Linked DNA regions of Alligator mississippiensis. The main gene of each other region encodes a partner of the protein of the gene in region 4 in a complex. Links are inferred from orthologs where the notes say so. Each region holds a gene or a part of one and is shown on either strand. Other genes may lie near its edges.

Region 1 (7,165 bases), on a different chromosome or scaffold from region 4:
TATTAAAAACAAATAAAATGGGCTCTATTTAAATGGGATTAAAATTAATTAGAAACTAAAGATCTTACAATTTTGGTTGAGGTTTCTTGGCCCTCCACCAAAATGATCGGCCTTAAAAACAACAGGGCTGTGTGACACACAAAGAAAACATGGAATCTGAAAAGACAGTGTGGGTTAGGCAGTGTCTTTGACTATAACTATCACCATATGTTCTTCTTCTAACTTTCCCAATGTCCTTAGTGCTGACTGTAGGTACTGCTGAGAGAATTCACAAGGAGGGAAAGCATAAAGCATGCCTGTGCTGTCTCTGCCCTTCGCCCCTCCCACAGGCAGGCTGATCACCCCAGCAGCCTGCTTCTGTTTCAAGTAGGAGACCAGATTCCTGAGAAGCCGACGCTGCAAGCCAGGCTCCACAACAGGGAGGGTCCCCTCAGCCCCAGCCCCTCCTTGGGTGGCTTGGGTAGCCAGAAGCACAGCATAGCCGTTGGGGCTGCCTTGTTTAATGCGGCGAGTTACTTCATCCAGTTTGGGCTGGTCAAGCCGAAGTCTCTGAGCGATTTTGAGCTGTGTTAACTTCCCACCAGTTGAATGGTCTTTAAGGAGCCCACTGATGACACCTAGGTCTCCCTCCAGGATGTGCATAGACGTGGGGAAGCAGCTGTTCTTTAGTACAAGCAGCCCATTCCAAGCTAGCTGCAGTGTCTGAGCATATTCCGATAAATTCTTTAATTTTTTGGTCTCAGATTTTGGCTCCTCGTGACTTTTTGATTCCGATTCGCCAGTTCGATGATTGCGTTCGCTGTCCCTCTTTTTCGACTGGGGAGGATCGGAAGTTTCACGATGGGGTTTCTCCTCAGCCACGTGCTGATTGTTCTGAAGGGAGTTTCTCTGCTCTTTCTCCGTTCCAGACTCCGTAGTGTGATTCTCTTTGCGAGCCCTCTCTGGGCTGCGATCTGAAGCTGGCCCACTCGTGGCCTTTGTCCTGCCTCTGTCCTCATAAGGCGAATGAGTAGTCCTTCCACGGTCACTTGAAAGACTTCGGCGTTTCCGCCGCTCATCCCACGGCTTGGGCACGTTGCGGTCGCTGTCGCTGCCCCATCGTTCTCCACTTCGACTGCGCACTGACCTGCTGTAGCTTTCCAGGTTATTTCTGCGTTCAGCATTTTTGGCAGGACTGGCCCAATCTGCTTCTGCAAAACTCCTGTCTCTGTCTGAGTACAGGAGATGTGGAGGAGTCCTATCTCGCACCCTTAAGTCTTGCTCTAGGCTTCTGTGCCTGCTATACCCATCAGCTAGCAGCTCATAGTGCACTGGGAGTGGTGCAGGCTGGTACTGCTGGGGGTATCTTGTCTCTTCAGCTTTGGCAAAATCCACTCTAAGCCTCCTCTCTGGTCCTCCCAAAGGGAAGCCCCTCATTTGCGCGCAGGCAGCCTGAGCAGCATCCAAGCTTTCATACTGAATGTAAGCAAAGCTATCCCCCTTCACGTAGTCGATAGTCCTGATGCTACCAAAGCGGTCAAACTCCCTAGCTAGGGCAGCCAGGGACGTGCTTGGACCAAGACCCCCCACCCAGAGCCGCGTAGTAGGGTTGGCTTTCCCATAACCAATTTTGATGGGGTTTCTGCCAACGACCCGGCCAGACATGGCCACCTTAGCCCGATGCGCCATGTCCAAATTTTGGAACTTGAGGAAAGCGTAGGCTCCACCTTGGCCCCGGGCTGGGCGCTTGATCACCACTTCTTCAATAATGCCGTATTTTTCAAAAGCGCGTCTCAGCTCCACCTCCGAGACGTTGTGGTCTAAGTTGCCAATAAACAGGTTCCGGGTTGCTCTCTGGTCGTCCTCAGGCATCAGGTCTTCCTCAGCCACGATGGGGTAACTGTAGGGCCGGCCACGCTCATCATACAGCCCATAATAGTCCAGTGCCCGCTCCCGCTCCCGGGAAAGCCCAATAGCAGCTGCCTCCAGTGCGAAGGCGGCGGCAGCCGCGTGGGCATGCCGTGGTCTCGGCTCCCTCAACAAGGGGCTAGCAACAGGCGAAAGCGAGCGCTGCTTGTACTGGTAAGTGCCATGGATGGGCGGCAGGTAGCTGAGGGGCTCTGGCGAGGGTGCGGGCGGCGGCGTGCGGCTCCGGCGGCCGCCGCGCAGGTACACCGGCTCCACCTTGAGGGGGCGGTCATACAGCAGGAGCTGGCGGGCCCGGGCATGGCGGCGGGCATCGCGGGCATCTCCTGGGTGCCGGAAGTTGACGTAGGCGACGCGGCCGAGCTCGGGCGTGTGGGACAGCTTGACACTGATGTCACCGGCGCCCCCGCCAGAGAAGCGCTGGAAGAGGCGGAAGAGCCCATCCTCCAGCAGCTGATCGGGCAGCGCCGCGCTCAGCCCGCTCACCAGCAGCGTCTTGTACTCGCAGGCGCCGGGCGGCTCCCCCGCCAGCCCGGCCGAGGAGCCGCCCAGCGGGGCCAGCAGCAGCGACGGCGCCGCCCCCGGCGGGGGCCCGGCCAGCAGCAGCGACGGCGCCACCACGGCCCCGGGCAGCGCCTTGGCCTTGGGCACCCCGAGCGCACGGGACGAGGAGGACGAGGAGGAGGAGGGGGCGGCCTGGGTGCTGGCGCGGGCGCTGGAGGCCGAGCCGCCGCCCGCCGGCCGGTGGTTGGAGTCGCCTCCCCCGGCCCGCTCATCGCCGCGGTGGCTGCGCGAGCCGGAGCCCGAGGCCGAGGCCGAGGCCGAAGCGGAAGCGGAGGCCGAGGCGCCGCCGCCGGGCGTGGGCTTGTCCCGGCTGCTGCGGGAGGCGCCCGAGCTGCGGTGCGGGCCCCGCCGGCTGCTGCTCTCCCGCTCCCGCTCCCGGGGCCTCTTGGCGGCGGCGGCGGCGGCAGCGCGCCCCCCCGGCCCCGCCGGGCTCGAGTCCCGCTCGCTGCCGCGCTTCATGGCGCCGGGGCCCGCGGCTCAGGAGACGCCTCCGGCGGCCGCCGCCATCTTGGACAAAAGGGAACGAAGGCGGCTCCAGCCGCCGCGCCGCGCGGGCCTCACGTCATCACCCCGCGCCCGCCGCAAGGTGACGTTAGGCGCGCGCCGGCTCCCGCCGCCCGGCCCACGTGACAAGGGAGACGCGCCTGGGCCACGCCACGTGACGCGGCGCAGCCAGTAGGGCGGCGGGGTTGGGAGCCCTGGCCCCGCCCCCTCCCCTAAGCCGCGCGGTCGCGCCTTGGTTGAGCAAGTAGCGCAGCCGCCGCCGCCCCCCGGGACAGGGCCCTGCTGCCGCCACACGTGCAACGCGGGTCGCTCCGGCCTCACGTGCGGGGCAGCGGCGAGGGGAGCGAGACCGAGCAGCTGTCACCTGAGCGCTGGGGAAGGCGGCCCGCGAGACCACGGATCAGGGCCCTTCCAGCCACAGGCCAGTGTTTTAAAGGACACAGCTGCGAAGTTCGGGCCACTTGCCCCATGCTGCCTCAGGCACCTCCTGGCAAAGGCCTCAGGACAGTGGCACGAGGCAGCTGCAGCAGGAGAGCTGGACAGGGGGAGCGGCAGAGACGAGGAGGGCCAGGAGTCGCGCAAGGAAACAACTGCAGCACGACCTCTGCCCAGGACAGCAACCAGAGGAAGCGGCTTGCACGGCTGACTGTGCAGTTTGGAGACAAGAGATGCAGGGACCTCCACAGAACTAAGCTCAACCCTCTCACAAGGCCCAGAAAGAGTAGATTTCTTTTTACTTTAATAAAAAAATCCCATACATAGTGTGATGCCATAAAGCAAACCAGAGGCGAGAGAAATACAAACTAGAGACAAAATGGGGGCTGTGAAACCAGCATTTCACACATGGCTCCACACTTCCAAGTCTGACACTGTTGGGAGCCCACTTAAATAAGTTACAAAAAAGGCTTAAGAAACAAAATAGAGAGGTTAATGTAATCTGTGTGAGGTTCTAGCAGGATGGAGACTGCCACAGTGGTCAGAGATCCGTCCGTGAACTGGCTGCCTTTGGTGCATATTTAGGCATTAGTTCATTGATTTTACGTATATAGTCTGATTTCTCTGCGCAGCCCTTGCATGTTTCACCCCAGTCATCTAGGATCTTCTTCAGCTCTTTCACTCTCAGTTTCTTCAGGTCCACAGTGCTCAGGTCAATCTGTTTGTCTACAGAAAGAAAGGAACATCAGTAACTCAAAGTAAAGAAAAAAAAATACAGCTTAGAAGGGGTTGCGACAACTTCTCTATCAGAAAAGACTACGGGCTTGGTCCCTTCAGTAGCTGCCTACCCTTCCTTATATCTTTTGCTAAGGAAGGACTTGTGCTTTGAAAGTTTCTGCCCCAATCTACATTATAATGAAAAAGAATATAAAAGGGAAGGCAGAATGAGGCTTAAAAGAAAGCTATCAGGGGCATTATGTTGCAATTTAATAAGAATGAGGCAGGGCAGGAAGGGAGAAAATGCAAATAGGAACTGTGCTCAAGAGCTCAAATAACCAGGACACGCACACAGCTGTTGGACAGAGGAACTATAACAATTGTGAACAGACATAATATAAGAGGGCAGGACAAAAAAATTGAAGGTGAAGTGCTGACAGAAAAGCAGAGATACAGGTGATAAGAAAGCTGAATGGTAGGTACAAAAAAACGGAATCAGTTAAGATTATGGAGGGGAAAGAACAAGATGGGCAAAGTAATGAGAGGAAGCACACTTCAGGTGTTAAAAACTGGACAGATTAAAAAAAGTAAGACCAGAGAAGAGTTAGAGGAGTCCACATAAGCTACAAAGGGCATGGAATGAGTTCTGGCAATAGGGAAGGAGGGAAAGGACAAGGGCTTTTGTGCTACAGAAAGGGGTGTGGTTTAGTGACACCTTTGAATTCTTAAACCCAGGCTAACTTCAGAGCAGTAAACTTTATGACAGTAAAGATAACAGAATTGTCCCCTGCCTTCTCTGGGGAAGATACAGTCTTAAGACTAAAGATACGCAAAGCATACCATAAAGCTTACAAAGCACTAGCACACTGGAGGAGAAAGAACAAGAGGAAGAGGTTGATTTGAAAAAAAATCAGAAATAGATGCGAGGATAAGAGTAGATGTTATCTTTTCTCCTGGCTTGTCCCCCAAGATAAAAAGGTAACCTGAAGGGAGTAATCAGCAAAATTGGAGATGGTAGTCATGGAAACTTAAGTGGTTCAAATGTAAAAAGAAGAATCACAATGTTTGAGCATCTTTGACCAATGCAAGCAGTTTCAGTGGGGTAAAAATTAAAGTCAGTCTTCCACTGAACAAGAATTGCTTAAAATAAAATTAGTATCTTCTAAGCTCTTCTGATGCACCTTGGCAATGAGGAGCCTTGCCACCAATAGCCTCAGGCCTACTTAATACAAATCAATATAGTCCACAATGACACATGCTGCTCCTTCAAAAACCCCTTGCCCAATACTAGTTTATGAACTAATGATTCCAACTATAGACTAAGGCTTTGGAATAACTGTAATAATAAACAATACATGCAGAAATTGAGAACTGGGTTAGTTTCTGCCATAGCAGCCCATTTCCAATTGCAATCAGAAATGTCAGCATGATGGGCTGAGGCAACAGAACAAACATTGGTGAGAGCACAAACAGAAAACCAAGTTCTGCCAGCAATCCTGATGGCAGACCTCGTGGTGTCCTGTGACCACTGGGGTCCCCCAGGGCTCTGTCCTTGGACCCATACTGTTCAACATCTTCATTAATGATGTGGACACTGGAGTCAGAAGCGGACTGGCCAAGTTCGCCGATGACACCAAACTTTGGGGCAAAGCATCCACGCCAGAAGACAGGTGGGTGATCCAGGCTGACCTGGACAGGCTCAGCAAGTGGGCGGATGAGAATCTGATGGTGTTCAACGCCGACAAATGCAAGGTTCTCCACCTTGGGGAAAAAAAACCCACAGCATCCTTATAGGCTCGGCAGTGCTATGCTGGTTAGCACTATGGAAGAAAGAGACTTGGGGGTCATCATTGACCACAAGATGAACATGAGCCTGCAATGCGATGCTGCAGCTAGTAAAGTGACCAAAACGCTGGCTTGCATCCATAGATGCTTCTCAAGCAAATCCCGGGACGTCATTCTCCCCCTGTACTCGGCCTTAGTGAGGCCGCAGCTGGAGTACTGCGTCCAGTTTTGGGCTCCACAATTCAAAAAGGATGTGGAGAAGCTTGAGAGAGTCCAGAGAAGAGCCACGCGCATGATCAGAGGTCAGGGAAGCAGACCCTACGATGACAGGCTGAGAGCCCTGGGGCTTTTTAGCCTGGAAAAGCGCAGGCTCAGGGGTGATCTGATGGCCACCTACAAGTTTATCGGGGTGATCACCAGGATCTAGGGGAACGTTTGTTCACCAGAGCGCCCCAAGGGATGACGAGGACGAATGGTCACAAACTACTACAAGATCGTTTCAGGCTGGACATAAGGAATTTCTTTACTGTCCGAGCCCCCAAGGTCTGGAACAGCCTGCCGCCGGAGGTTGTTCAAGCGCCTTCATTGAACACCTTCAAGAGCAAACTGGATGCTTATCTTGCTGGGATCCTATGACCCCAGCTGACGTCCTGCCCTTTGGGCGGGGGGCTGGACTCGATCTTCCGAGGTCCCTTCCAGCCCTAATGTCTATGAAATCTATGAAACACAAGAGCAAGTAGATCAATTCCATTAGCTTTCAAAGGATGCCGATTCAAAGCTAGTTTACATGAGAATATGCACCATGGAAAGAAGCCAATGCATGCTACACTGCTAATCAATGATGATCTATGCTGCAGAGAAGCACGATCACTGATCAGTTAACTAGACACAGGGTCTGCAAGCTATGGCCCAAGCAGGGGCAGATCAAGAGGGAAGGGCACAGGGGAGGAGTGCACTTGCACTCCCATTTGATTCCTGCTCCACCCAAACTTTAGAACCAACTACCTGGGAGGGGCACTGGGTGCCTTTCTATTCAGGTAGTGCTGATGAAGTCAACTGACTTCCTGGCTCAGGATTCCTGCTAATCTTTCTCCACTCTACAGGGGAAATACCATGACCACTAAGGTGGTTTTCCTGCTGGTAGGTGAAAACCACTTTCTTGGCAGGCAGTAGTACCCTGACTAGGGTAATGCATAGTTAGCCTCCCACTTTAACTTCCAGTGGCAAGATCTTGGCTATACATCAGCTTCATGGA
Region 2 (7,520 bases), on a different chromosome or scaffold from region 4:
CGTACGCCCTGTGCGGATAATCCGCTGCAGCTGGTTGGTTTTCACCCAGATGATCTCGTCTACCCGCTCATACCTGGGGCGGGGGGTAGAGGTCAGCTGGGAAGGGTGTGAGGGGGGACATGTGGGGGCACATTCACTTGTACACACTCACCCCCAGAGGTTGAGGCACTCGCGCCCTAACTCCATGGCCCTGTGAGGGAGACAGCCCCAGTGAGACCCTTGACCTGCATCAGAGACACCCATGACCCCTCTGAGCCAGGTCAGCCCCTCCCAGACCCTCAGTACCTCCCAGTGACCCAGAGGAAGAGGAAGCCCTCGTCCTGTAGCACGGGGATGTTGAGGCGCCGCATTTCATCGTCAGTTAGCGTCCCATAGGGCAACTCCATGTGGATGTCCCAGGGCGGGTCAGCCATCACTACTGCAAACTTCCCCAGGATGCTCACGTCCAGGTATCGGATGTCGCAGCAGATCCACTGGGCCGGGAGAGAGATGTGAGGGCAGACTCCTGTGCTCTGCCTCCCACCCCAAGCTTCCCCTGCCCAGTTTTACAGGCCCCTGCCAACAAGCATCCCCTCAGGCAGTGGGCACCTGGGGTGGGAAGAGACGGTCAGCGCTGGCGTCGCCACCCACAGCTTGCGGCAGGGCCAGCTCCTGGCCGGGGTTGTGGTCGCGGGTGCCAGGGGCACCAGGGTCAGCGCAGGCGTCGATCTCGTAGTGCACGTACTTGCAGGTGTCCATGTGGAAGCAGGTGTTGAGGAAGGAGCAGTCGCCCAGCGACTCGTCCGTGTGCTTGTTGATGATGCGCCTGCGGACCAGGGTGGTGGGTGGGCACGGGACCCAGACGTCCTGGCCCCTGTCCTACCCCTTGTGCAACCCCACTGGGTACTGTGGGTAAGGACTGGACCCAGGAATCTGGGTGCCCAGACACTCCCACTTTGGAAGCTGAGCTCCCAGCTCTCAACCCCTGCCCCTGCTCTCCGCAGAGCCGTGGCAAGGAACGGACATGATGGAGGGGGTGTGTGTGCATGAGTGCGCACAGGTACACGCGTGTGCACACGTCTCTCACCGGAAGTGCAGCTTGCGACAGGGCCGCTCGGCGCCCGTGGCTTTCACGCACTCCTCCTTGGTGCCGTAGTCGCAGAACTCCTGCACCTGGGCCCGGCCGCGCGACCGGAACTTCTCTACAATCGACTGCTCCTTGGCCGTGGTGGTGTTCAGCAGCTCCAGGATTTCCTGGCTCACCTGGGGTCAGCGGGGAAGGGTCAGCTGGGCCCTGGATATTGGGGGTTCCTCCCTCCAGAGCCAAGAAAAGAACCCAGGAGTCCTGGCTGCCAGCTCCCTGCTCTAATTGCCCCACTCCCACGCCAAAGCCAAGGCAGAACCCAGGTGTCCTGGTTTCCAGATCCTCTGCTGTAATCCACTATTGCCTTCCCCCAGACTCTGAACTGAGAAAAGACCTCAGGAGTCTTGTCTGTCCCGCACTTCCTTCTTTAACCTACAAAACCCTTGCTCTGCCTCCAGCTGGGACGAAACCCAGGTGTGCTGGTGCCAGGCCCTACCCCCCCGCAGACCACACTCCTCACCCAGAGCTGGGATACAACCCAGGCGTCCTGGTTCGCAGTTTCCCCTCTAACTCACTAGCCCTTACTGCCCTTCTAGAAGCTGAATTGAGGCGTCCAGCACCTCCTGCCCCATCCCTCCTCCCCAGCCAGAGGCCTGCACCTTCTTGCTCTGCTGCTCCTTGGTGGACTGCTGGCTGAGCAGGCTCTCGATCTCCAGGTCCAGGTCTGACGCCTGCTTCCGGGATTTCTTGGCTGGCTCCTTGGCAGGCTCTGCGCTGGTTGTGGCACTGGGGGTGGCACCGGCCGGGGAGGAGACAGCGCCCCCGCCCTCCTGGTCCGCGCGGCGCTTGGCGGCCCCGGCCTCAGCAGGGCCCCGGCGCTCGGCCACGGCACCTATCATGGCCGAGAGCTTGGAGTGGTCCGCGTAGGTGACCAGCGTGGGCTGCTCCTCGTCGTCCTGCAGCAGCCCCCGGCGCACCTCAATCAGCTCCTGCGCGGCAAACTTCTGCAGCAGGCTCTCCACGCTGCGCGGCGTGGCCGGGGCCTCTGGCTGGAGGGAGGGGGCAGGGGAGGCAAGGTTACTGCGTACGCCGGCAGGGGGGTGAGGGGGTTCGGATCAGCCCCACGTTGGGACAGGGCTGCACCCAGCCAGGGAGTGACGAAGGGGTGTCTGAAGGCACCAAACCACAGGGAGACAAGAGGATCCACATTGTGAATGTAGTGGGGACGCCAGGCTTGCCTGCGTTTGACCCCAGGGGGGTGATCACAGCAGGGGAACCAGGACTCTCATCCCAACTCCAGGCAGGGGGGTTAATGGTGGCGGGGGAGGAAACCCCAGTGCCGCGGGGGGGGAAGGCGAGCGGGCAGCCGAGCGCACCGTGGAGATGGCCAGGCAGATGGCGACGGCGTCGGTGGGCAGAGCCAGCCCCAGGTCGGCCAGGTGGTGCAGCAGCTTCTTCTCCAGCTCGGGGTCGGTGGCCAGGTCGCGGTCGCGGGTGCCGGCGGCGGCGCTGGGTGCGGGCGCGGTGGCGAGCACGGGGCTGTCGCTGCGGAAGGGCGGCGTCAGCGCCAGCTCCGGGTTGCGCGGGTCTGGGGGGCAGCAGGGGGTCAGCAACCTCTGCCCTTGCACCCCTCCAGGACCCCCAGAAGTCGCTGTGACCTCTGACCCCCCTCCCTCCTATGACCCTAGCCACCCCCCACCTCTCTGACTCCAGTCCTCCCCGTGACCTTTGACCTCGCCCCCTCCCCAGCGCTGCCCCTTCCTTGACCGTCGCACCCAACGGGTCCTGCTTCCGCCGCCGCTGCAGCCGCTCCCGCAGCGAGTCCAGCTGCTTCTTGTGGGCCTGGATGGAGCTCCATGTGTCCGACATGGTCCCGGCAGCTCCAGGCACCGCCCGGGCCCCAAACACCGCAGCACACCGGCAACCGGAAGTGCCGCGGGGGGCGGAATTCAAAGGCGCACGGCGGGTGAGCGGATATGCCCAGTTCCAAAATGGACCCCTGACACACACATGCCCATAACCAAAATGGCCGCGGAGTCAACTCAGAGCTGAGGTCACGAAAAACCTGTCCCCCCTGGAAACATTTCCGGTTTTAGCTCTTGCGGCGGCCATTTTGATTACGGGTATGTGCGCCTGTTGGCAGCCATCTTGGAAGTGGGCACGTTTGGTGTCTACGTGACGGCTGCCTGTGGTTATTTACAGAGCGGCTCCCCCGTGGCCATTTTTATCATGGGCGTCAGTCATATTTCGTATGGGCAAGCCGGGCGGCCGTATTAGCAATTGGGTTCATCGGTGCGCACGCACTCTCGTCCTCCGCCTCCACTATTTTAGTGACTGGCACCAGAGGCCTCGCCTCTTCCGGGCGGCCATACTTGTTACCACTCTGGGGGTAGCCATGTTGGTTACTGGCACCAGAGGCCGCCCTTCTCCGCTGTCCAATGGACGGCCGGAGAGCGACTGCCCACAGTCATTTAAAAAAGAAAAAAAACAGGGCTCGCGTCACGTGGGGGGAGGGACGCTGGAAGCAGCCATGTTGGTACTGGCATGAGGAAGCTCTTGCCCTCATGTTGTCTACTGGCACTGGGCATCGTCTCCAGAGGTCTGTGACCATTTCCGGTCCCAGTTGCCGCGATCCCGCCACGAGCCCTATCACCTTCCGCCCGCCTCCATTCGTTTTCGTACCACCACGTGGCCGGAAATGGTGGTGGTAATAAATCCGCCATATTGGTTGTGGGCAACCTTGTTGGATGCTGGCGGTGTGAGGGCATGGCAACCATCATGGCTACTGGCAGCAGCTCACTGGAAGCTGAAGAGGCCATTTTGGGTACTGGCAGCACGAGGCCTGTTCCAGCCTCATGAAATCTCCAGCCTCTGGTGCCCCCAAGCACCCCCCCACCATCCCAAGATGCAGCCACTTCTGGGGAGCAGCCCAGCCCTACACAGAGTGGCACACCCTGGCTGCCTGGGTCCTTCCCCCACAAGCAGCTTTGGAGGCACTGCTCTGGGCCTCAGTTTCCCCCACCTCAGGGTGCAATGACCCTGCTCCCTCCTCCACCTCTGCTTCCTGCTCGGGGCAACAGCGCAGGGGTCCAGAGAAGGAGTGAGGAAGGGCTGTGTGGGGATTAGCACAGGCACTCCCCCTCCATGGAGGCCTCCCAGGGAGGCTCTTGAGCTGCTTAAGCCTGGGTATGTCAGGCAAACAGTGTGAGAGGGGAGCAGAGCAGGGGCCGGAGCCACAGGCTCGGGGGCGGCGTGTAGGAGTGCGTGCACCCCTATACCGCCTTCACGTGGCATGCCTCCACCTCGTCCCCCCGCCCCGTCCCCGTCCCCATCCCCAGCGAGAGTCACAGCCGGCCACGGGGGATTTGTCAAACTGCTTTAATGTCGAGGCCAGCACAGTCCCGGGCTCCTCCCCGCTGGCGTGGCCGGGATGCTGCTCTACACTAGGGGGCGCTCTGCTACAGGGGGCAGGGGTGGAGCCGCCCCGGCGCAGGGGGTCTCGCCTCCTGCCCCGTCCCTCCGTGCTACGGTTAGAGTAGAAGACTAAACTGCCGCTAATGTCGTGGTGGGCGGAGGAGGCGAGGGCCGGTGTCCCCGGCAGAGCTCGTGGCCTCCTGCAGCGTCCCCCTGAGACGGAGAGAGGAGAGGGGGAGGCAGGGTTAGGGGGGCAGCAGGGGGAAAGGCCAGGTCGGGCCCCTGCACCCTCCTAACCCCTTCCCTGGTGAGGGATGCTGGCCCAGGGCGCGCGAGCCCTGAACCCACATCCCTGTGACCTCTGATTTGGCTCCACCTTACTGCTTGACCCTTGTCCTACAGACTGACCTTCAGCCCTACTCCATGAGCCACCTCTGCCCAGTGGCCTCTACCTACAGCCATCTCCTGCCAAGCACATGCTGACCTCTCCCCATGTGACCTCTGCACCGACCCCTGCCCTGCTTGAGCGGCCCCCACCCCGTCCACCATCGGCCCCCCACCCATGCACCCTCTCAGCCCTGGCCCCAAGCCACTGAATGACCTCTATCTCTACCCACCCAGGAGCCACATCTGACCCCATCTCCATGCCACTGACTCCTGACCCCCCTGCCCTTGAGCAACTTTTGCCCCCTAAAGCATCTTAGCGAGTGACCTCTGACCCCACCAAGCCCCTCCCAGAACATGGCTAAACAGGGATGGGGACAGTCCCAGAGACTGGGAGCAGTGTGAACAGGGGCCCTGCCCCATCCCTGCCTACCATAGGGGCAGGGGACCTTACCTGCCGAGTGGGCTACTAGGGGTTATCTCCTGAGCCGGCTACTTCTCCGCCTTCCCTTGGCCATCTGGGGCCGGCTCGCTGGGGGCCGGGGGTCCCAGCAGTAGTGTACTAGCAACGGGCTTCTCCTTGGCCTCGGCAGGGGCTGGCCGGGTGGGCGCGGGGCCCGGGCTGGGCCCATAGAGGGCCGGGGCCGCAGCAGCGAGGGCAGGTGCTCGGGCTGGCTTGGAGGCCAGCCCACCGGCGGAGACGAAGGCGGTATACTGGTTCCAGAAGGACAGGGGCCCCACGCCCACCAACTGGGCCGGCACATCTCGCGAGAGGAAGTCCTGCAGCTTGGCCGTGCCCCCTGCCAGCACCGGCACCGGGCCCTCCAGGGTAGGGCGCCGGCCGCGCCGTGCCGGGCCACAGCCCCATGCCAGAGGCACCTGCCATGGCACCGCGGGGGGGAGTAACCCGTTAGTGCCCACAGCAAACGGAGGGGCCTGAGGGGAGGGGGAATAGCTGGGGTGGGAACAGCCCCAGGTGCCCTTACCTGGTGGTGGGCAGCTAGGACATGCTTGCGTAGTGCGGCCCCGTCAGGAAAGGCTTCTTTGCAGACCCCACAGGCCACGACTGCCCCCTCCTGGACCCGGCCGGCGCGTGGCTCCTCCACGCCAGCCCCTGCAGCCTCCTTCTCCTCCTCGGCGCCTCCTGCTGCTTCCCCTCCTCCTCCCCTCTCAGCCTTCGGGGGGACGGGGTCCCCCGTGGGGGGCAGAGGCGATCCCTCCCTGGGCGGGGGAGGGGAGCTAGGCTGGGCACTGCCCTCCCCTGCCCCTGCCCCTGCCGCCTTCCCAGCATCCTCCTCCTCCTCCTTGGCAGGAGCTGGCAGCACCTCCCGTTCAGGGCTTGACACCCCCTCAGAGCCGCCCGGGGGCTTCTCGGCGCCGCTGTCCAGCGAGTCCTCGTCAGTGCCTTCCTCCTCGTCGTCCTCCTCCTCGTCTTCATCTTCCTCCTCTGACAGCTCCTCCTCATCCCGGGGCAGGGCAGGCCCCTCGGCAGCGGGCTGGGCAGGGGCTGGGCGCGGTCCCTCCCCTGCGAGGGTGGCGGGGGGCTCGGGGAGCAGGGCGCCGTTGGGGATCTGCCCGCCGAGGTGCATGCGGACGTGCTGCTGCAGGGTGACGGCGTTGGTGAACTTCTTCTGGCAGATGGGGCAGGAGTTGTGGGCGCGGGCGGCTGGGCTGGCCTTGTGGCCGACGCAGTGTGCCCGCAGGTTGCCGCGGGTGGAGAAGGCGCGGCCGCATACCTTGCAGCGATAGGGGCGCTCCCCACCGTGCTGCCCGTAGTGCAGCCGCAGGGCCCGGGGGCAGCTCAGCACCCGCAGGCAGATGACACACTGGTTGGGGGCAGCCGCGCCGCCAGGGGAGGTGCCGGCCATCAAGGAGGAGGAGGATGAAGGGGCTGGGGGCGAGGGGGCCGCCGCCGCGGTGCCGCCCACCCCGGGCGTCGGGGGTGCCTGGCGATCGATCTTCTCCACCAGCTGCTGCAGCTTGGAGGTCTCGGAGGGCGAGGTGCCCAGCGGCTCCAGCAGACAGGGGAAGGGGAAGCCGGTGCTGCCCGCCTTGAAGTGGCCAGCCAGCAGAGCCCAGCCGGGCAGCTTGCCCAGGGGCAGGCGGGCAGCCTCGGCCTCCCGGCCCGGAGGGGTGTTCTCGTCCCCCTTGGCCCGGCCCTCGGCCGCCTTCAGCAGCACCAGCTTGTTGAAGACGGGCAGGGCCTGCGAGGCGGTGGGGGTGGCCGCCCCGGAGAGCAGCGTGAGGCTCTCGGTGGCACTGAGGCCCTTGCGGGGCTCAGGGGCCGGGGTCGGGGGCTCCTCGCCCGGTTCGGCCTTCTCGGGGGGCACGGACATGCCATAGGGCAGCCCGGTGCCGGTGAGGACGTAGTCGAGGTGCTCGGGCACGGGGTGGGGGTTCATCTGGACGTGGGGGTACTTCTCGCGGTGCCGGTGGAAGTGCACCTTCAGGTTGCCACGGGTGGTGAAGCGGTTGCCACAGACGTTGCACTTGTAGGGCCGCTCGCCCGTGTGCGACCGCAGGTGGATCTGCAGGGCGCTGTCGCTCCCAAACACCTTGGCGCAGAAGCGGCACTTGTGCCGCCCGCCCGCTTTATCGTCGGGCCCCGGCTCCACCGCCCCGGCCCCGTTCTTGGGCCGCAGCAGCCCTGGCGAGGACG
Region 3 (7,031 bases), on a different chromosome or scaffold from region 4:
TTCCACTGCATGGGCTTTCCCAACTGCTTGGAGACCATGGGCAGCAACCACATCTCCATCTTGTGCTTGGGTCAGGCCACCCAGACGTTCACCAACCACAAGGGCTACTTCTCCATTGTCCGGCAAGGTGTCATTGACCACTGAGGCCATTTCACTCACATCTTCACCAGCTGGGCAGGCAGCACCCACAATTTCCAGGTCCTTTGCCACTCCCCGCACCTTGGACTGATACAAAGCAGGCACTACACTCCTGGGGCCCCTGGACTCATCATCGTTAACATAATTGTCCCACTGCTTCTCATCAGGGACCCTGCCTACCCCCTCCAGCCCTGACTGACAAAGCTCTATGGGGGGCAACTGGACTGCTGGAAGAAGCGCTTCAACTATTGCCTGAGCAGGTGCTGCATGATGATGGAGAGCACCTTCAGCCACCTCAAGGTATGCCAGTGGACTTTCAGCATGTGCCTTGAGGTGGACTAGGGAAACCTGATGCAACTCATCATTGCCACTAGTGTCCTTCACAACATCTGCAAGACCAGGGGGAGGTTTTCTGTGAGGCCTGAGCTGAGGAGGCACAGCGTGTGGAGTGGATCTGGCAGTGTAGGTACACGCAGCACAGGGATGGAGGAGATGGCAAGCCCCCTGCTGATGTTGTGGGCCCCGGCTCTGCACAGTAGCAGGCTGTCCAGATCTGCAAAGCTTTGGCTGACTACTTCCTCACCCTTGTGGACCAGGAGCCCTTCCCACATAAGTAGGGCCAGTGCCTGTGCCCTGGCACCATGGCATGGGTCTCTTGCCCTAGGCTCCTCAGCCCTGCATCCTGGGCAGTGTTGGCCACAATGGTACCTGGACACTGTTTCATTTCCCCTCCTCCTCCCCAATTTTCCCTCCCCACATTAGGCACACACCAGGGTACGGGGGAATGTGGCACCAGGAAGAAACTTGCCACCAAATTTTTCATGTGTTTAATAAAGAAAACCTGCTGAATGTTGCCCATGGCAGAACTCATTCCCTTTTCCCAATTCATACAAACCAGCAAACCTTCGGAGGGGGCAGTGGGCAGGAGAACCTGGCTGGAAGGGGCAGTTAGGACGGGGTGGGCGGGAGATGTCAGGGGGAATACCACAGGGGCTGAACTCAAACACAAAACCTTGGAGTGGAAGCATGGGGTATGGTGGCTTTTGACCTAGCATCCTGCTTTCAAGGTTCAGAAGTGAAGACCAAGGACTTTTCCAATGTTGCAGCTGGACAGGTGTGTGATCCCAGACCCACTGTCTGTCTGAGAGAGTTGCAAGTCAGGAAGCAGCTGTTGCTTGGGGGGTGGGGGCTTTGTGATGGGTGGCTTCACCACAGTGGACTTTTAGCTCTTCAACATGGGCTCCCTGGCCCCAGGACCCAGTCTCTCCCTTTGAGGAGTCCAGATGGCCCCTGAGTACACTTGAGGCTCCTGTATTGCAGCCGACCTGACCCCTGGGACTGCCTATCTCCACCAACGCTGCACTGATCCCCTACAACAGGACTTAGGCCAAGAGTGGAGCCACGGACAACAGAAGAGTTCCCCCCAGACTCCATGGCTGGCATCAGGACCAGCCCACCATTTTTGGGGCCCCCTGCAAGAAATAGTCTTGGGGCCCCCTGCCCCGAAGAAGCCAGCAGTGGTGGTAGTGGCAGCGGCAGGCGGGAGTGGCGTACAGCCAGATGTGAAGGCAGTGGCAGCAAGCAGCCAGATGCAGGGGCATAGGCAGAGGAAGAAAACAAAATTTGAAGGGGGTGAGTCTGCACAAGTGCATGCGCGCGCACACGCCCCCCCATGGAAAAGTCTGAAGGGGGAGGGGAAAGGGCCAAGAAGGGAAGCAGCATTGCCCAGCACTGCACCGCCCCGGCCAGCTCCCAGCCCCAGCCCTGGTCCCAGCTTCCTCCCAGCCCTGGCCACGCCAGCCCCAGATGCCACACTAACCATGGCTGCCTCCTGGCACTGGCCGCACCGGCCCCAGCCCTGGCAGCATCCTGACCACACTGGCCCAGGCCATTGCACCAGCACTAGCCGTGCTAGCTTCGGCTGTCTCCCAACCCCGGCACCTGACCCGGATGCACCAGCCCTGGCTGCGCACTGGCTGCGGGGGGTGCCCAGAGCCAGGTCCCGAAGCAGGGCCAGCCTCAGCTGCCTGCCGGGCTGGAGGGGATGGAGCGGCACCCACCACATTTGAAGCGGTGGCAGCAAGGCACGGAGACATGGAGCAGAGGCTGAGCCCAGCTCGCAGCTGTGGCCTACCCTCACCCATGCAAAGATCAGGGGGCCATGTGCCCTCCCCCACCCCTTGGCTGCCCAGTGCCGCACCTCTGGAGGAGCCTCTGGGCTCTGATTGAACCACGAATGGGCTAGGCCGGGGCCCCAGTCACAGTGAATGGGGGCTGGGCTGGGTCGTGGAACAATCCCCACAGTAAGGAGGGAGCAGGCCAGGGGTAGTGGTGAATGATTCGCCCTTCCCCTACGTGACTCTCTCCTGCACTTTGGGGGTCTCAATCTGCCCTCCTCCAAGCCCAATGCCTGTGTTGGGCCAGCTGTGATCCTGGCGGCGAGTGTGCACGGTAGCTCAGCGTGCCCACCACTGTAGGAACCTAAGGCCATGCCTGCGGCAGGGGAGCAGCAGCGGTGGTGGCCAATCTCAGGGGAGGCACCCCCTACAGCGGCCAATCGGAGGCAGGGGTGTGAAATCAGAAACTGGAAGTGCTTCCTGCGCCACTGCCACCCCTTCCAGTTTCGTGGCCTGTCGGCACCCCCCACAGCCCTGCACCTGGGGACCCTCCCCCCCGTATCGGTACGTCACTGCCATGCTTCCCTATCTGGGGAGACATTTCAGCCCCGCATCCCTGATGAACTGGGTCTACACTCCCAATATTCCCCTGGTGAGAGTCAGCCAGGCCCTGAGGGATTAGCTTTTCTGGTTCTCCTGGGGGAACTCCAGGCAATACACTGTGCTCCTGCAACATGGTCCCCTGGGAGTATCTCAACAGCTGGAGAGGGGTCATCTGCTGTGATGGCACACTGGGGAACTCTGGGTTGCCATTCAACATTGGATAGAGCTGACACCCCCTCTGGAAGACTTTGCTATTGCTGCTGCTATTGACTTACTGCTCAGCCTGTGACCTGACCCAGAGAGAATTTCCCCAGACCCCAGCTGCATAAGAAGAGCCCTGCCATGGGCTGCCCCTGGCTTTACAACGCTGCTCCTCTACTGAGAATATTCCAGGAGGCAGCTGGAAGGAGAGAGAGAGGGAGTTAGGAAAGACTAGGAGCTTTTTTTGCTAGGGTGAACTGTTTTCATTCCTGCTGTACCACAACTGCACCCTGACCTTGGGGTGCTCTCTGCCAACTCAGCCTGTGGCAATGGCAACTGGAGCAGGGCAGCATATACCTGCAGTTGTAACTGTTTTTTACACTTTGCCTTGGGAGCTCAATAAACGCTTTCAGTGCCTTCCCTTCCGTGCTTGGGAGGAGAGAGAGGTGGTTCCACACAACTGCTCTGGATAGCTGCAATGAGACTCACTTCTTCCAGGAGATCAGCTTGGCCTTAAAAGATAGGGGGGAGAGGGGGATGTCAATAAGGCAGATTTATGTTCTCATTGAATGCCAGGGACTCCCTGTTATTACTGAGAAGGAGCTAGCAGTGAAAAGAACCCCAGGGGGACCAGGCTTCTTGCTAAGAGTAGCAGAACAAGCTACCTGAGCACCTTAGGCTGAGACAGTGCCTACTGTGGAGGTAGTGGCATTGAAATAGTTCAATTGGGCAGAGACTGCTTAGTACAGTGGTCTGCCCAGTGCAAAACTAGCTGCAGCACAGTAACGCCAGAGAGTAGAGCATTAGCTTCTATCCCAACAGCTGAAAGCACCTCTGAAGACCAGCCAGTTAGCCTAAAGAGAAGCACCTGTGGTGGCTGGGTGGTCACAAGACCAGGAGAGCAGAGCCTCAACTACATATAAACTCAGGGTTTGGACCTAGGGGGTTATCTTGCAGACAACCAGGGAAGGAGATCTGTATTACAATGGCTAAGGCACTGTAGTAGCATGCATGCTGGTAAGGAACTGAGAGTTGACTATGAGAGGGGGGGGATTTTCTTATGTAGCTAGAGAGCTTGATTTGATTTATGGCCTGAGGCCTGACTTTTTCCTATTGTTATAATCCAAGGACTGGGATTGGGACTGGCAGGAGGGGTGGAGGTGCCAAAGGGGTATATGAAATTTACAAGCCCTCTTGAGGGCTGGGCTCAGAACATGGGTGAGGAAGGCTGCAGTCTAAAGATGAGGGCACAGACCAAGGCCCTGAAGAACATAGCTGGGGCCCTAAAGGGGCATTATCAGGGCCCTAAGGGCAAAGCTAGAACCCTTGAAGAGGGAGCCCAGGAAGGATGAGAGAAGAGCCTTGAGGGGTGAGTGCTACACCCTTTAGAAAGGAAGCTGGACCTGGGAAGGGGCAGACCCAAATCCTAGGAGGTGAGACCAGAAACTAGATGAGATACTGGCCTGGGGTTGAGGGATCTTCTCCCAGGATGATGAACTGTTAACATGCGCAAGGTATGGGCCTAGCTAGAGTGTAGTCAGAGCCCTAAGGTGCTAACTTACAAAGCTGTTATGAGAACAAAGAGCCAGACCAGTGATTCCTTGGGATTTGAGGCAGCCTCCCAACTCTTTGAGGGGGGGGGGGAAAAGTTGTACCAAAAAAATGGCAGGTGAGGAAAAGGGAGAGACTCTAAACCCGGAGGTGAAAACTGAGAGATTACCAGAGCCTGGGCATTCACCTAGGCCTATAGGCAACATGTAGGGGTGCACATGTTTTTCCCCCCCCCCCTGATTTGTGGCTGCTGCTGGCTTCTGTGGGTGGTTACCATCCACACCTGTCCCCCACTTGCTGCTGATGTGGCCAGTGGTAGTTGTGGGCAGTCCTTGCTAGCTGCCACTGACTGACTGCAGGTGGTCCCCTCTTGCCTCTATGGTACCCTCCCCCTGGTCTCAGGAGGCACCAGTCATTCATGCCTGGGCCACCAGAGATCCTGCTGTGTCTCACTACAATGGGACGTGGGCTGATAAGTGGCCAAGGGAACTAGGTGCCTCAACTGCCTTTCAGGATGGTGGGGTGGGAGTTACTGCTCTGAGTGCTGAAGGATAGAAGCCTTTTGAGCACTTAGAGGCCTGGTGCCCTGCACTGTGAACAGTCAGGGTGGGATGACTCCTCCCTCCCACCCCAGCCCCTTTCTGGCCTTGGCCAAAACCTCCATGAAAGGGGGCTATGACCACAGTAATGGCTTATAGGCTGCAATTCCCCCTGCCCTTCTTTCTCCCAGGGGCTCCCCAGTTTCCCCCAGGGCATTGGTTCCCATCATGGCTGTAATCAAACCATACTGTCCTGGGCTGCCTCCCTTGAGGCCCAAGTCATCGGGGGGGGGGGGGGGGGGCGTGCTGACATGGCCCATGCAGGTCATGTGGCAGCTGTGCTGGGGGTGGGGGGGACACAACTGGGCACTCTGTGCTGTGGCCATCTGTTTGGCTACAGCTGTAGAGCACTTCCTGCATGTGTAACCTGTGATAAACTTAATGTTTGTACCTAGCCTAAGATATTCCTTCAGCCAACTTCTCTTTGGCATGAGAGAGCCTTAAAATAGTGAACTCGAATCTGGGCTCTTATTAATTCTGTGTTCTCTTTGTGATAGCTTTCGCTGTGTAATTCCTTGCTGGCCAGTAATTGTAATGACAAGGGTATTGTGTCTCCACCTCCCCTATGGGAGACTGTCAAACTCCCCCCTCTTTTAGTGATGGTTTTTTTTTTTTTTTTTTTTAAACAAAAAAAGTAAAACAAAAAAATAAACCCTCTAGCCTGTCTCCTCCTGTTTTCTTCCACAGCTTCATTGTCTGAAGGCTCCAGGTAGGCATTCTAGGCTTATCCCTACACCCCTTTCTGTTGGAAGCTTCCCCGGCTGATGGGCTGCTTTTTTTTTTTTTTTTTTCCCTTCTTGCTTTCTCAGCTGTTCATGGTCTACTTAAGCTAAGACAATTACCTTCCTGTCTTGCAGTGTCTTCCTGAGTCTCATTTCTTAAAATCCTACTCTCTGGGGTCATGTTACTGCATTAAAACTAGTCCATTTACTACTGCTGTAGTGGAGAGAGCCTAGACACATGAACAACATACAATTCAAGGACCCCAAATTCAGGATCCAAAATAGAATTTAAAACTTGTACTTAATTTCTTGATTCTAAAACAAAACCTGTTGTTGTGGGCCAGACTCGTGTGGTCAAAATTCATGATGGTTGATGGCGCCATATCAATCTTAACTGGGCCCAGCTATTCTTATTTGTAAATTCGTCCAAGGTACATAGCCACACTTCCTAAAACACTAGTTTCCAGCCATATGATTCAACCGTAGCAAAGGTGTGCTCAGAGCCCAATAGCTCCCCTCTTGGCTGCTCAGTGAATCCAACCATCCCCTTCAAGTACTTTTATTTATAATGACATTTCTAGCTTTGTCAGATCTGGCAGCCAGTAGGTGCTGTATGAAACTGAACACCAGGCACAAAAAAGGGGTAGTACCAGCTGAACTGAGGAACCAGAAAGAAGAGGAGATTAGGTGAGAACAGGAGAATAATAGTAACAGAACCTTTAAGATGCATTTTAAAATGTCAATAAAAGAATGATTTTTATGCCTAGAAAGTATTTTAACATGTTTTGTTTTTATAATTGATCTCCATGTTGAAACATTAAAAGCAAAACAAAGCTAAGCAAGAAAGAAGTGTTCATGCTCAAGCTCCTTAGCAGTAGGATAATTGGATTAATGTGCAGGTCCAGCATTCATAGAACCTATAACAGGCTGAGGAGATTAAAAGCAGTACTCAGACTGTCAATAACCATAGTCCACAGAACTGGACTGACCTTGGAAGCTAAGTAAGTTTGTGTTTGGCTAGTAATTTTCTGGGACCCACCTTGGAATAGTGGGTGCTGCATACTTCCTGATTCTTTAGGGCCACAATGTGATTTATTCAG
Region 4 (7,619 bases):
AATTATAGGCAATATTCTAAATTCATCCTAAGCATTAGGTTTGATTGCTATTTTAAGAGAAACAAAACCGATTACTATATAGAATTTACTAACTCAGCTGAAGTCTCCCATTAATATACAGTACTCTACCTGAAAAGGGTCACTTTAATGTTAAATATATATTATAGCCCTCTTACACATTCTTTCACATTAAAAAGTATTTTTCAACTAATTACAATGGGAACAAATCAAACATTGCATCTGCCATCCTTTCACCATATCTGCCATTTTGTTCCTTGATTCAACAAGGTAACAGCACAAAATATGTGGAACATGAATAGTTTGGCATTCTTGTACAAATTAAGTGGCTGAGTCTGAACTGAGATGCACAGAGATACCTCGTACTGGTTCTGCACAGCTCCCCTAAAATCAATTGGCCCTATAGTGGTACGTCTACTTGCTTCTGCTCTGAGATGCAGACCTTCTTTCACAATAATCTGACTTGAAATCAATGACTCCTATGTTTTCTTACAAATATTAAGTAGCCATCATAAATGATGTTACACAGCCACTAGCTACCTACAATTTTGCCAGTAAGCCACTGAGAACTACTTCTAAAACTGCTTCAAATTTTACCTTTTCCACAAGTAGCTCTACTCACCATGCGCCCATACATTTTAATAGGCAATCCACATTTGTCACAAAAATGGACTGGGGTATCATCCTTTTCTCCCAGCAAGTTAATCTGTAAGGAACAGCAATATTATGATGGCTTATTTTCAATATTACCAATATGCTTGCAAGCTCTTAAATATTTCTTAAGAAACATGGACCTGTGCACAATCTGAGAAAAAGGACAAAATACCTTTACAGCAATGCTAAGAGTAAGAGAAGTGCTTATTTTTCATTTGGTTTCTGAAAGGGTAAGCAGGATGCATCTCATTTCATTTCTACACTTTAAAGATGAACTTGCTCCCCATGTATTTAAAAGTTTAGAGAGCAATTTAATTTATATTATCATCCAAACCACTGCATCCAAGATTGTACCTTGAAGTCCCAAAAGATGGGTCCAGGGAATCTTCGTTGATTCCCAAACATTTCACCTCCTTTGCATTCGTATCGTTCCTCTTCATTATAATCAAATTCTTCTGGGGAAAAATGAGACCATACTTCAACACAAACTATTACCTTTCTAAATGACTCAGACTGATTTTAGTATAGAATGATGAGCATTTTAAACAACAATCAGAAATACTATGGCATTTCAGTGTCAGCTGGGCCTAAATCTAATTTTATGCTTAGATACTTTCTGCAAAAAGAGGAACAGAAACAGAATAAAAAGAGTACTCCTTGTTCTTTGGAGGCAGGGGCCATTTACTGCTTATAACACAATATGTGGATGTCTCAGTCACATGTTCTTATGTGTTCGCACAGCACCTAACATATGAGGGCTCCGCTACTGAATGGGGCATCTGACCACTACTGCAAAACAAAAAATAAATGAATTCCCTCTCCTCTCACAGCACTAATTTATTTAGTTTACCATCATCACCAGCTTGTGTCTTTGACGGCATCCTGTTCATATTTCTTGGAGTTCGAGGTGCAGGTTTGATTTTGTTGGTTTGCTTGGAGATAAGCTTTATAGGGATTCGTCTGCGAACATCAAGACCACCCAATGATCCAGAACTATTAGTTCCTTGCAAATCATTGTCTATACAAGAAGAAAATATGTTTATTGTAATTTCCTGGTTATTTTGCATATTAGTTTCTAAAAAGTTAAGTAGCAATCTAGACAAATTAGAAGTATAACTCTGGTTTTATTAAAGCTAATTTAAGATTCATTTATTGTACCAGACACTACTCATTAGAAGGAAAAAAAATCAATCTATTCTGGAATAAATCAATCCATCAGCTCTTCAAGGCAAGGCCTTTTTTGTGCGTCTGTGTAGTGCCTAATGGTAATATTGGCTCACTATACTATAAAACCTCTACAAAACCATAATATTTTAAATTATGTTCTCTTACCATGCTGGGTCATTGTAATCATCACAGTGGACAAGTTGTATAAAAAAAGTTTCCAAACTCTTATCTTGATATGAAGAAGCCCTAACACCTCTCACCTAGTTTTTCCATTTCATCTACAAGCCCAGACCATAGTTTAAATTATAAGGTAAAAACAAACTCTTTTTAAAGAGGCCCCTACAACCCAATACCCTTTTTCCTGCAGCTATGTAATACATTTTGGGTTCATCATCATTTGAACTGGCCAGAAGAGGCTGGAACTGTTGCTTTTATTTCATTTAACAGTGACCCCTTCTGGCCCATTTCACATATAAGTGACAAACCATCAGATTAAAAGATCATACAAGTTGTATTATTAATAATACAGTAGTGCTTAGACAGCTTAGCTAAGATTAGGGACAAGTCCATTGTAAGCCTCATGCTTACAAACTGAACAAATTACATAAGGGTTAGAAGGAAACAGGTGTGTAAAGGCAAAGTGATGGCTGAAGATCATTTAGCAGTTCAGGTGCAAAGCCAGGAACAGAACAACTGTATGTACTCAAATAGAAGATGACCCTAATGATAAGATGACCCCCATAATTACATTCTATATATGGAAAATATAAAAATGTGTTATCATTTTCCAGATATAGAATCAAATTATTGGAGGCTTGCCTCGAATTTGTCCCCCTCTCACTGCTACAGCATGTAAACCAAATTTGTGGGACCAGGTAGCCCTTTGCTCTCTGCTTCCCCCACCATTTTTTCTCTAGCAGACCCTTCCCTTTCTCCTTACTGTCAGACCCTGCTCTCCCTGCACACATGGAAGTGAGGAACAAATCTGAAAACAATAACCTTGAAAATAAACATGGGTATATCAATTTGCATATAGTACCCATGCATTGTCCAGTAATCTATCCAGAATTGATGCTGCAGGGATGGTGCCCAGTTGGCACCTGCCAGGTTATTTTGAGCTGTGTGCAGGGTTCTGACCAGCCAGTGCAGGGTCATTCCAAGCTGCTGCCTGCCAACGAGTGCCAATTTGCTTCGGCACCCTCTGACGGGAAACTGCACATGCATCTCAAAGTGACCTAAAGGCGCCAGCCAGGCACTGTCCACACAGCATGGGATTTCTGGCCAGCACATGCTGAGTTGCTCTGCGCTGCTGCTCAAGCAGCAAGTGCTGGGACAACCCAGCTCACAGAAAGGGACCTGGCGCTAGGCTGCCAGCATGTGCCAGGTTGCTCCAGCACCCACTACTTGAGCAGCATCTCAGAGCAACTCAGTATGCGCTGGCCAGAAACCCTGCACTGTGGGCACAGGGCATGGCCTGCACCTGCTGCATTATTTTGAGCTGTGTGTGTGGTTTCCAGCCAGAGGGTGCCAAAGCAATGCGGCACATGCTGGCAGGCAGCTTGGAGTGACTGCACTGGCCAGCCAGAAACCCTGTATGCTGAGGGGTGCCCAGGTGCCCTCTGATGACTGACCACATACTAGGTGTCTGGCCATGTGGCCTCCTCACTAACATTGACATCCCCAGTGCATTTTCTGATTTCAGATAAGTCGTATGCAATCATAAGACAAGGCTTAATTTTTCCCATATTGAATGGGGGGGAACCTTGTCTTATAATCGAGAAAATATGGTAAATTTCTCTGACTCTCAAACCAGTGTCGTCTCAGACTCAGCACTTGCCCGTTTTGCCGGGTGGTCAAGTGTACCCATTTCACACAGTGCTCTGAATGCCACCATTACAACGTGAGTGTACTTCTTACCTTCTATTAAAAATTGTTTCTAGTTTTATTGGAATTTTTGAGGAGGGGGAGGGAATAGGTTTTCCACTAATTAAACCAGTTCCTCAGTCAAAGTGTATTTTAACTCATGGATCTCTCTTTTAGGGACCAGAGGACTGGAGCATCACAGAGCCAATACTTGTAAGGTTAAGGGTGTTCTTGACTTTAGGAAACCATGCCTCTTGTTACAAAAACTGTGTTGCTGCTCATTAACATCTGTTAGCAGTCAGCAGCACAGCAATTCCAGTGAAGTCGACAGGGAGAACAATTTTGAGGCAGTACATGAAGGGCCAAAAAACTAAAATTCTCAGCAGAACAGTTGTGCCTGCACATGCAGAGCAAAAAAAGTCATAAAGCAAACACCTTTCAGTTCCTCCAGTCCACACCACTGCCAGTGCAGACACCTAAACGAAGGCTATGTTCTATTCTAAAACCTTCACGGGAACTGAAGGTAATTAGGGGGCTGCTTTGGTACTGACAGTGAACGAAGTATGAATGAAGGATCTACTAGCATGGGTAAGATGGCTAAGCCAAGAGGAAAAAATATATCTGAAGCATTTAACAGGCTCTCTTGGCATACAACACAATACAAAACAATGGACTTGCACTGTAAGCTTTCTGAAAGCTCTTCTGGTACAGAAAGTATTTTAGATATAAAAAGTACATTCTCTTCTGTACTTTTTGGGCACAAGATCTTTGGAGAAAACTTTTCTGAACAAGGTAGCTCCTCAGGCTATTTATATACCAGTTCACTCCATGTACACTAACTGTACAAACTAGCACTACAGGTGAAAAAAGGTAGGCTGAATATTAGGAAACTTCCTGTTAAGAGTATCATTAGGAAATGATGCAGTGAAATCTTGTAGTCTGTATACATCTTATTTCGTTAGTCTATAAAGGTACACATCTACCTCGCCTTCTGAATGACTTCAGATTAACAAAGCTAACTACCTCTATTAGGAAATGAAACATTTGCAGGTGTAGAGTAAAAACTAGCCCAGAAGAGACTATCAGAGCTGTTCCTAAAAGTGGGATAGATGAACAAAGAGCTTTTTAAAAATCAACTAAACTCTACTGGCCTGTTCATCTGGTTTAGGTCTACAGACTCGAGAAGCCAATGGAGTTACAGCAGGAAATAATGCGACTCAAGGAAGTTTCTAACTTCCTATCATCCTTCTAACCCAGCTAATAACCTACAAGGGTCCACCGAAAAATGAGAATGCTCTTACATGACTTCACTAGTTTTTTTAATTTAAGTTTTTGGTTATGACCTGACACATTTTAAAGGGGCACCAGTCAGCATGCACTAATAGCACACACTTAATCCCGCACTGTGAGTTTGGATTCAGCCCCTTCCCCACACCTGTCCCTGGGCACCCTGACCTCTGGGATCTGTGGCCTTTCCACTCCAGGCCATTCCCCAGGCTCAAGCTCTCTTTGCACAGGAGTGACTACAAACGCAGCCAGGTCAGGTCTGGAGGCCGGCAACAAAGTTAAGAACAGGTTCGTATTTCTGGGCTGAAACCCAGGCTCAAGCCCCTGCACAGCAAGCTGCAAGCGGAGCAAGAGAGCCTCTAGACAATGCTCAGGACAGGACTTTTTCCAGGGATCGCGGCTCACTACGCCATAGGAGTGGGGTCAGATGCAAGAGTCTGGCACCGCAGCTGCCTAAAGGCCAAGCAGCTGGGTAAGGGGTTTCAAGCCCACCGCCCTGGGGTCAGCACCGAGACCCTCCAGGGACCCGCTGAACGCCGAGGCTGAACGGGTGCGGCCCAGCGCGGGCACCTCGATCCGGCCCCTTAGGGCGGGCCCGAGCGCGGCCGCTGTCACAAGGGACCGCAACGAGCGAGGTCGACGGCAGCAACCCCCGGCCCCCGGGGCTAAAGCACGGGCCGCCGGCGGCCACACCCGGAGCCCTCCCCGTCCCGGGGCGTCAGCGAGGGGAAGGAAGCGGGGGCGGGGCCGGCGCCAGTTCGGGCTTGGGGAGGCCGCGGCCCTCGGCTCCGCTCGGCGCGGGCTCAGCCCGTGGGGCCCAGGCCTCAGAGCGCGGCCCGGCCGCCGCCCCCGGAGCCCCGCCGCAGCCAGCGGCAGCGCCCGCGAGCGCCGAGGCGGCCGGGCCGGGCCAGACCCACACAGGCCTCTCTCCCTCCCTCGCCCCTCCTCACCATTGTGGTCCATGATTCGGCGCGGGGCACTGTGGGAGCGGAAGTGCCCCGCGCCAGAAGGGAGGAGCCGGAAACGACTGAAGGGAGAAACCGGAAACTCGCTGAACAAGGGGGTGGGACGTGCCCGCGGGACAGCTGGGGGGGGGCCGTGGCGCGCGATGCGGCGGAGTGGTCACCATGGCAACCAGAACACTGCGCACCCGAGCGGGCAGGGCGGAACGGCACGCCGCGCGGCATGCTGGGAAACGTGCTTTGCCCTGGCGCCGGAGCGGGCCTGGTGCATGCCGGGAGCGGCAGGTCCCCGCAAGCCTCGCCTTGGCCCCGGTGCATGCCGGGAGCTGTAGTTCCTCCCCCCATGTTGAGGTGGTCGTAGGCGGCGCCTGGCTCCGCAGCCGGTCCTCTGCACAAGTAGCGTGTGTCTGACAGCGCCCGTGGTTGCTGCGGAGAGCTCCAGCCTGGCCGCGGCCTACCAGGCCGTCGGAGCCAGGCTAACGGGGGTGTAGCCGGGGGGCGTCCATGCCACCCCCTGCGTCCTTTGCCCTGAATTCATCCTACCGGGCAGGGGAAGGACCAGGAGGTGGTTTCCCGGGGAGGTCAGATCCCCTTGAATGGCGTCGCGTAGGGCAGGTGGAGACGGGCCCGATGCACTGCAGACAGGCCCCCTACCACGGTCTGCCCTAGCAGCGGTTCCCAACTTTGTTTGTCCCAGGACCCATTTGTAAGCATGGATGGCCAGTGCCCCTCGCTGCCGACCCGCGGCCCCTGTGTGCGGGGTGAGGGGAACTCTGCCAGCTTGCATGGGAAAAGCCACACTGTCATGTTTTTCACCTTTAAAGGAGAATCCATTTCTAAAGTGTGTTGAACCATTTCTGAAGTTTGTTCGTAACCTTTACATCTATTCTTGCGACCCCACCTTTTGGGTTGAGACCGACAGGTTGAGAAACGCTGCACTATTGCTTCTTTGGCCTGTTGGCAAGTAAGACTCAGAGGCATCCGAACCCCCAGACCTCTGGGTTTGGGGCCTGCGTTAGGAAGCCTGCCATGCATTTGGGAGTGTCTGAAACCCTAGGCTGAAGAGCCCTGGAGGGAAAATACTTGCCAGTGGTAATGCTATATGGGCCTGAATGACTCGGCCCTGCTCATCAGATGAAATTCAGAACTAATTTGACTGATTTGACCAGAGACACAAAATTTAAAAAGACAAAAAACAAAACCTGAATGAATCCCAGTTAAAATCCCGAATTTTAGCCGATTTTGGATTTTAAACTTCGTTACAGAACAACAAGGAAGTTTTTTTGCCTCCCTGCCTGCCATCTGACATCTCCAGGGAAGGGATTCTACCTGATCAACACATCAAAGAGCTACTTAACACAGCTCACAGACACTGTCATGGACCCAGAGGGACAGACTTCCATCTTCAGTTCCCCCTGTGCAAAAATGAAGTTTATTTCCTGCCTATGGGGACTTTTGACCATCTTGTACCATCTACACTTTTCCCAGAGACCAACGAAGGGACTTTAATCCCAAAAGCTTGCAGGAAAGGACAATTTTCTTGCCATTTTCCAGTTGGTCTAATAAAAGGTATCATTTTGGAACCAAGAGTCCTAGTTTTTGTATATCCCAGTTAAAATAGCACTTAAAAAAAAATAGGTCCAGTCCCCCCATGGCCAATCTTGCTGT

Evidence for each region.
Region 1: CBLL1 (region 4) and RBM15B share a complex: the UniProt entries of both Homo sapiens proteins name them as parts of the WMM complex. The link is inferred for Alligator mississippiensis from reciprocal best matches to the Homo sapiens genes CBLL1 and RBM15B.
Region 2: CBLL1 (region 4) and METTL3 share a complex: the UniProt entries of both Homo sapiens proteins name them as parts of the WMM complex. The link is inferred for Alligator mississippiensis from reciprocal best matches to the Homo sapiens genes CBLL1 and METTL3.
Region 3: CBLL1 (region 4) and WTAP share a complex: the UniProt entries of both Homo sapiens proteins name them as parts of the WMM complex. The link is inferred for Alligator mississippiensis from reciprocal best matches to the Homo sapiens genes CBLL1 and WTAP.

What each region holds. Positions count from the first base shown.
Region 1 is NC_081835.1:46,186,564-46,193,728, reverse strand, and holds the start of RBM15B (putative RNA-binding protein 15B), read right to left. Parts: upstream 3,003-7,165; 5' UTR 2,929-3,002; coding exon 175-2,928; 3' UTR 1-174. Other genes in the region: MANF (mesencephalic astrocyte-derived neurotrophic factor), read right to left, coding at 3,950-4,134. UniProt on the Homo sapiens protein: RNA-binding protein that acts as a key regulator of N6-methyladenosine (m6A) methylation of RNAs, thereby regulating different processes, such as alternative splicing of mRNAs and X chromosome inactivation mediated by Xist RNA.
Region 2 is NC_081830.1:3,897,537-3,905,056, forward strand, and holds the start of METTL3 (N6-adenosine-methyltransferase catalytic subunit), read right to left. Parts: upstream 3,014-7,520; 5' UTR 2,933-3,013; coding exon 2,839-2,932; intron 2,652-2,838; coding exon 2,440-2,651; intron 2,113-2,439; coding exon 1,723-2,112; intron 1,243-1,722; coding exon 1,067-1,242; intron 806-1,066; coding exon 589-805; intron 474-588; coding exon 286-473; intron 191-285; coding exon 152-190; intron 74-151; coding exon 1-73. Other genes in the region: SALL2 (sal-like protein 2), read right to left, coding at 5,354-5,740, 5,848-7,520. UniProt on the Homo sapiens protein: The METTL3-METTL14 heterodimer forms a N6-methyltransferase complex that methylates adenosine residues at the N(6) position of some RNAs and regulates various processes such as the circadian clock, differentiation of embryonic and hematopoietic stem cells, cortical neurogenesis, response to DNA damage, differentiation of T-cells and primary miRNA processing.
Region 3 is NC_081824.1:137,733,730-137,740,760, reverse strand, and holds the start of WTAP (pre-mRNA-splicing regulator WTAP), read left to right. Parts: upstream 1-4,027; 5' UTR 4,028-4,066; coding exon 4,067-4,076; intron 4,077-7,031. UniProt on the Homo sapiens protein: Associated component of the WMM complex, a complex that mediates N6-methyladenosine (m6A) methylation of RNAs, a modification that plays a role in the efficiency of mRNA splicing and RNA processing.
Region 4 is NC_081827.1:28,120,679-28,128,297, reverse strand, and holds the start of CBLL1 (E3 ubiquitin-protein ligase Hakai), read right to left. Parts: upstream 3,014-7,619; 5' UTR 2,027-3,013; coding exon 2,005-2,026; intron 1,691-2,004; coding exon 1,523-1,690; intron 1,128-1,522; coding exon 1,027-1,127; intron 725-1,026; coding exon 641-724; intron 1-640. UniProt on the Homo sapiens protein: E3 ubiquitin-protein ligase that mediates ubiquitination of several tyrosine-phosphorylated Src substrates, including CDH1, CTTN and DOK1. Targets CDH1 for endocytosis and degradation.